2 linked regions of the Callithrix jacchus genome follow. The protein of the gene in region 1 interacts with the protein of each later gene in a pairwise test. Links are inferred from orthologs where the notes say so. Each region holds a gene or a part of one and is shown on either strand. Other genes may lie near its edges.

The links.
Region 2: the proteins of CPT1B (region 1) and TEX44 interact in binary tests that used the Homo sapiens proteins (3 or more experiments, as listed by UniProt). The two-hybrid records come from large-scale screens. The link is inferred for Callithrix jacchus from reciprocal best matches to the Homo sapiens genes CPT1B and TEX44.

Annotation. Positions count from the first base shown.
Region 1 is NC_133502.1:219,153,018-219,156,830, reverse strand, and holds part of CPT1B (carnitine O-palmitoyltransferase 1, muscle isoform), read left to right. Parts: intron 1-798; coding exon 799-906; intron 907-979; coding exon 980-1,064; intron 1,065-1,701; coding exon 1,702-1,897; intron 1,898-2,414; coding exon 2,415-2,600; intron 2,601-3,457; coding exon 3,458-3,563; intron 3,564-3,643; coding exon 3,644-3,760; intron 3,761-3,813. UniProt on the Homo sapiens protein: Catalyzes the transfer of the acyl group of long-chain fatty acid-CoA conjugates onto carnitine, an essential step for the mitochondrial uptake of long-chain fatty acids and their subsequent beta-oxidation in the mitochondrion.
Region 2 is NC_133507.1:153,024,820-153,028,198, reverse strand, and holds TEX44 (testis-expressed protein 44), read right to left. Parts: upstream 2,035-3,379; 5' UTR 1,999-2,034; coding exon 760-1,998; 3' UTR 602-759; downstream 1-601.

The sequences.
Region 1 (3,813 bases):
CTAGAACATGTCTTGCTTTGTGTCCCTCTGCAGAGCCAGACAGCAGAATGAAGGCCAGGCTCCTTCTCTTAGAGCTCAGGAGGTCACAGTCTGCCTCTGTCCCATGTAACTGGCCCTCCTGAGTCTCTGGGTCTTGCATGACCCTCCTCTTCTCCCCTTTTCCACTGTCCGAAGCACACTCAACTCGGGAGAGTCTACTGGAATTCTTCTCCATAAACTATCCTTCCTGAAACTTAGACACAACTTGTCCCTATCGGAGGTTTCAAACTGCTTTTTAGCGGTAGAGCCCCTTTATCAAAGCAAAATAAGTAGAACACGTGCACATAAAATAGGTTATAAAAGGGCAGCTCCGAGCCAGGCTTGGTGGTGCATGCCTTTCATCCCTGCGACTCAGGAGGCTGAGGCAGGAGGATCACTTAGGGCCAGGAATTTGAGGCTGCAATGAGACATGCTTGCCCCACTGCACTCCAGCCTGGGTGACAGAGCAAGACCCTGACTCTAAAAAATAAAGAATAAAAAAAGCAGCTCAGGCTGAAGCTGGAGCAGAGGGTTACTGTGATCAGTTGTGCATTTCTGGAGGTTCACCCCCAGAGCATGTGCAGGATGGCTGAAGCTGGAGCAGAGGGTTACTGTGATCAGTTGTGCATTTCTGGAGGTTCACCCCCACAGCATGTGCAGGATGGACTGGAAGAGGGAGACAACACCTCAGGCCCCCAGATAGATTGGTCCTTGGGTCGGCAAGATCCAGGTGCCACCCCGACAGAGGCACCCACCCTGTGGGCTCTGCTTTCTCTTTAGGACCTTGTGCTCATCAGGAATACAGACGTGCAGGCAGCCCGTCTGGGAAACATCATCCATGCCATGATCATGTATCGCCGTAAACTGGACCGTGAAGAAATCAAGCCTGTGAGTTGCATCAGGATTGAAGGTGGGATGGGAGAGGAGACCTGACTCTGAGCCATGCTGGGCCTTCCCCTAGGTGATGGCACTGGGCATGGTGCCCATGTGCTCCTACCAGATGGAGAGGATGTTCAACACCACTCGGATCCCGGGCAAGGAGACAGGTAATGGAGCCCGCTTCCTCCTACCTATGGCCCACCTGGCTCGGTGCCCTCCTACCTGCTCATCACCAAGTGTCCCCAGTGTCTCAGGGTCCTGAAACTGCGAACAGTAGTCTATTCGTGACATTTACTAGACATCTATTATTAGCAGGCATGCTGCTGGTGTTGGGACCCCACAGGGCCCAAAGCAGAGCCCCCCAATCCAGGTTTCACTGTGTGTGCGCAAGGGGGTCCTGCTGCAACCCAGAGCTTAGGATAGGCCTGGTGCTGCCATGGAGCTGGCAGAGGAGGAGAGGAAGGGCACACCCAGGGGCCTGGCAGAGGCGGTAGCCTTCCTTGCTTCTGACCCTGTATCCTCAGGCCATGTGCATAACCTCCTAGTGCTTCTGTTTCCTCTTCTGTGAAATACTTTATAGGATTGTTGTTGGTGTTATGAGAGGCAGCAGAAGCACCCAGCACAGGTCCTGGTTTAGGACACACAGATCCCATCCAGGGGGCAGGAAGGCCCAGGCAGAGGCCGAGCAAAGCGGGGTCTGCAGGGGCCACCTAGCGCATGGGAGGTGGACCTTTCTCAGGATGTACCTGGGGCCATGAGCTGCTTCCCACGGCCCACCTCAGCTTGCCCCGATCTCTGTCACAGATACGCTACAACACCTCTCGGACAGCCGGCATGTGGCTGTCTACCACAAAGGACGCTTCTTCAAGCTGTGGCTCTATGAGGGCTCCCGTCTGCTCCAGCCTCGGGATCTGCAGATGCAATTCCAGAGAATCCTGGACGACCCCTCCCCGCCTCAGCCTGGGGAGGAGAAGCTGGCAGCCCTCACTGCAGGAGGAAGGTATCGGCCTGTGGGGAGGGACTGTCTTCACCCCGAGGTTCAGGTCTCCATGCGGAGAGGAGCATGGCCCTTCCTGCCACCCTGGAACTGGGGGCTAGAGGCACAACCAGGGAGGGGCATTGGTGGTAATCATAGCATGACAGCCAGTGTAACCTACGTCTGACGGGTGGCAGCTAGGTGGGAGTGTGCAAGGCAGGGGACACCCTCTAAGACAGCCTGAAGTGTGCAAGGTGGGCACCCCCACCTTCAGGCCTAGCCTGGCACCTCCCATCTCTGGGCCCAGCCTGCCACCTCCCACTACTGGGTCCAGCCTGGTGCCCCCCACCTCTGGGCCCAGCTTGGAACCCCCACCTCCGGGCCCAGCCTGGCACCCCCTACCTCTGGGCCCAGCCTGGCACCACTGCCCACCTGCAGGCCCAGCCTAGTACCCTCCCATCTCCAGACCCAGCCAGGCCCTCGGATGCACCCTCCATCCCAAGTCCATGTGCCCACTGCTTAACTCTGCCCCATGCCACAGGGTGGAGTGGGCGCAGGCACGCCAGGCCTTCTTCAGCTCCGGAAAGAACAAGGCTGCCTTGGAGGCCATCGAGCGTGCCGCTTTCTTTGTGGCCCTGGATGAGGAGTCCTACTGGTACGACCCCGAAGATGAGGCCAGCCTCAGCCTCTATGGCAAGGCCCTGCTACATGGCAACTGCTACAACAGGTTGGTCATCCCCAGCCCCACAGGTTACAGCTTAGGGTTACAGTTAGAGGATTAAAGATAGAAGAAGGGAGGGTTATGGGGTGGGTGCAGTGGCACACACCTGTGATCCTAGCACTTTGGGAGCTCAAGACCAGCTTGGGCAACATAGCAAGACCCCATCTTAAAAAGAAGGAGTTAAGATTAGGATTAGTGGTTAGGTAGGGTTAGCACTTAAGGTTAAAGGTTAGGGTTTGGGTTAGAGAATAGGGTTAGAAGCTGGGCGTGGTGGCAGGCACCTGTAATCCCAGCTAGTCAGGAGGCTGAGGCAGGAGAATCCCTTGAACCCGGAAGGTTGCAGGGAGCCAAGATCGTACCACTGCACTCTGGCCTGGGCGACAGAGCAAGACTCCATCTAAAAAAAAAAGGAATAGGGCTAGAAATTAGGGTTGTGTTAGTATTAGGGCTAGGATTAGAGGTAACATCCAAGTTAGGGTTAAAGGTTAGGGTTGCGGGCTGGGCGGGGTGGCTCACGCCTGTCATCCCAGCACTTTGGGAGGCCGAGGCAGGTGGATCACAAGGTCAAGAGATCGAGACCATCCTGGTCAACATGGTGAAACCCCGTCTCTACTAAAAGTGCAAAAAATTAGCTGGGCATGGTGGTGCGCGCCTGTAGTCCCAGCTACTCGGGAGGCTGAGGCAGGAGAACTGCCTGAACGCAGGAGGCGGAGGTTGCGGTGAGCCGAGATCGCGCCATTGCACTCCAGCCTGGGTAACAAGAGCGAAACTCCGTCTCAAAAAAAAAAAAAGGTTAGGGTTGCAGGTCAGGATCCTGCGGACATTCTAAGCTTTGGCTCTTCATGCATCTACTCTTCCTGCAGGTGGTTTGACAAATCCTTCACTCTCATTTCCTTCAAGAATGGCCAGTTGGGTCTCAATGCAGAACATGCGTGGGCAGACGCTCCCATCATTGGGCACCTCTGGGAGGTAACAGCCTTGCAGAGGGAACCTACAGGGCAGACCATAGGGGATGAGGCTGGCCTCTCAGTCTCATCTTCTCCCTGTAGTTTGTCCTGGGCACAGACAGCTTCCACCTGGGCTACACAGAGACTGGGCACTGCCTGGGCAAACCAAACCCTGCTCTGGCACCTCCTATGCGACTGCAGTGGGACATTCCAAAACAGGTGGGTCGGAAGCACCCAGAGCAAGTGTGAGACCACAAAGCAGCAGGCAGGTA
Region 2 (3,379 bases), on another chromosome or scaffold:
GGCACTCGCTGAGGGCAGGGTGGGAGCAGACATCCAGCTGGGGCATCACTCACCAGGCTACACTGCCGGGTGCTGCAGAGGGTCTTGCCAGAGTGTGGGCTGACGGCTTCCAAAGCAGATGGCTGCCCCATCACTGCACTCAAGGCCTGGCCTTGCTAATGCTTTCCCAGATGTATATCTTCACACACACGAGTAAGTACCACGGAAAGAGACCTGGGTCTAAAGTAAGCAACTCATCCTAGTTTGCCTGGGGTTTTATGGTTGTAAATATGGAAGTCCGACAACCCAGAAACCCCCTTAGTCCGATGCAAGCCGGGACAGTTGGTTTGCTTAGAGTCCTGCTCCCTGCGCACCCCCAGCCCGCCAGGGGAGAAGGATAATGGCAGCCACGACGTGTGGCTTATCAAGTGCCAGAAGACACCATGCATGATAACCTGCATCGCTTCCCCCTGCCCATACTGCCCCCAGCTGTGCCCAGGCTCTTCTCTGCCTGCACATTTGCCCCTGAATGGGTCAACCTGAGAAACCCTCAGGGGACATTGTTCCCACTCCACCCTCAGACCCCCTGTGCTGTCATCATGTTGCTAACTGCACCCCAAGGGAGGAGGCTGGTGCTTAGAAAGAAACGCTTGCTGGTGATTTATTGCACGGGCTGGGGGAACCATCCAGAGCAGAGGTGGGCAAGAGAGCAGGGGGTGAGGGTCCCAGGGGGCTCTGGAGGCCACTGAACCAGCCCTTCGGGGGTCCCTGTGCGGGGCTCTAATCATAGTTGGGGTCAGCATGGGCCTGGCGTGCCGTGAGGTGGCTGGTCAGATAGTTCATGGCTGAGCGGACGCCCTCCATGGTCCTCTGCTCCACTGTCTCCAGCACGTGGGCGATGGTGCGCAGGGCCGAGCCGGTCCCGGACACCAGCCTGGAGGAGAAGGCCGAGCCGACGCTTCCCAGCATGCTGGAGACCGAGTGCAGGCTGGGCCCCGAGCTGTGCAGCAGGTCTGCCACAGTGCTGTGGTCAGAGGCCAGGAAGCCCGTGGCCACAGCCATGCCCATGGCAGTCTCGGACCACACCAGGATGTCTGCCAGGGAGCTGATGGAGCCCTCACCCCTGCCCAGCAGGCTGGTCATGGAGTACATGTAGCCGTTCTCATCACTGGCCATGTACAGGCTGGGGTCCAGGGGTCTCCTCCCCAGGGCCACCTCTTGGGGGCCAGGTGACGGGAGCACATTGCCTGTTGGAGATGGAGGGAAGAACAAAACCTGTGGGTCTCCTAAGCTGTCCACCACGTTCTCCCCCATGGCCATCGGGGACTCATCGGATGGCAAAGCTTCAGCGTTGGGGTGTGGGGCCTTCAGACACTCAGCTTTCTCCTTTGCAGCCTTGGTGGTGCCAGTGGCCTCAGGGCCATGCTGGCCATCGGCACTGGCTGTGACCTTGTCAGCATCACTCCCAGCCGGCTGAGCCTCCATGTGCTGGGTGGACTGTGGCTCAGCACTAGGGGCAGAGGGGGCTGACTCCCGCTCTCTCCTGGGAACACTCGCCGTTTGTGATGTCTTGTCCTTACCCAGGAGGTGACCCGGGAAAACCACTAGACTCTGACTTGTCCTTGTGTCTTGAACTAGCGTGTCCCACGCTGGATTCTGGAGGCTCATAGACATTTGCTGGGGACCTGGGTTTTGGCTGGGAAGCAGGGCTGTGATTTTTCTAGGTGTCTTCTGGTCATGTTCTGGAACAACTGCACCCTTGTCTTTGTCCCCAGATGTTGACATGGCCTCCGGAGTGGTTGTCTGGAAGGAGGCCTGATCAACATCCTGCTGGTCTGTGGATGCGGCAGAGCTGCTCACCACCAAGACATCTGCTGTGAGTGGGACCTGACCTTGGGGCCCTCCTGCTGGGATGTCCTTAGAAGTGTTGTCAGCCACGTTGCCTGGGGGGACCCCGGAAGTGCCATGTGTGGGGCTGCTGGTGGTGCTGGCCTCTACGGAGGGCTCTCCTGTGGTCATCTATGCTCTTTGCTACTTGTGGCAGTTGGAGGGAGTGGCTGCAGCCCAGCTGGGCTGGGTTGTCCAGGTGGCGAGGTCACAAGGGACTGGTCACTGGTGATGTCACAGGTACCTGTAGAGCAAGGGTCCTGAGCCTCTGGAGCAGCCTTCCAAGTGGGCTGAGTCTATGGGACAATTTGTCACCAACTTTGCAGGTATATAGGAAAAAAATGTCTTGGAAAGGGCTGGAGGGGTGTATACAGGGACAAGTACAGCCACAGGCCTGCAGGAGGAGTGAGAGCTGGGACTTTGACAGATGAGAAGGGATGCAGATGTTGACTCAGAATCAGTGTTGGCCTGGCACGGTGGCTCACGCATGTAATTCCAACACTTTAGGAGGCTGAGGCGGGCGGATCACCTGAGGTTGGGAGTTCAAGACCAGCCTGACCAACATGGAGAAACCCTGTCTTTACTAAAAATACAGAATTAGTTGGGCATGGTGGCAGATGCCTGTAATCTCAGCTACTAGGGAGCCTGAGGCAGGAGAATCGCTTGAACCTGGGAGGCGGAGATTGCGGTGAGCCGAGATTGCGCCATTGCTCTCCAGCCTGGGCAACAAGAGTGAAACTCCATCTCAAAAAAATAAAAAAATAGAATCAGTGTTTATAAGGGATCCCTCCTGGCACCTCTCTGTCTACTCTGGAGCCTCAAGACCCCAATTTAAGCTGGGCATGGTGGCTCATGCCTGTAATCGGCACTTTGGGAGGCTGAGGCAGGTAGATCACCTGAGGTCAGGAGTTTGAGACCAGCCTGGCTAAGATGGTGAAACCCTGTCTCTACTAAAAGTACAGAAATTAGCCTGGCATGGTGGTGGGTGCCTGTAATCCCTACTCGGAAGGCTGAGGCAAGAGAATCACTTGAATCCAGGAAGTAGAGGTTGTAGTGAGCTGAGATCACACCATTGCACTCCAGCCCGGGCAGAAGCAGACTCTGTCTCAAAAAAGAAAACGAAATTAAGAAAGACCCTAATTTAATCAGTTTCCTGCAGGGAATCATTTTCCCAGCAGTGAGAGTAGGAATAAGCAAAAGCCAAGGGCCTGGGCAGCTCCTGACCAGCTGTGGCTGCAGGGTTAACCCTTTTGATGTAGGGAAAAAATCTCCATCTTCTCCTTGCCCAACCGGTCTGGGAGGGCAGAGAATAACAAAAGGTCTACAGACCTCTGAGTATTCCTCAGAAAAGGATAACGCCGGATAAACTTACTTCTGCCTATGGTCATTAAGAAGATGGTTGGAGGAGGCCAGGCACAGGCACGGTGGCTCACGCCTGTAATCCCAGCACTTTGGGAGGCCGAGGTGGGTGGATCACGAGGTCAAGAAATCGATCGAGACTATGATGAAACCC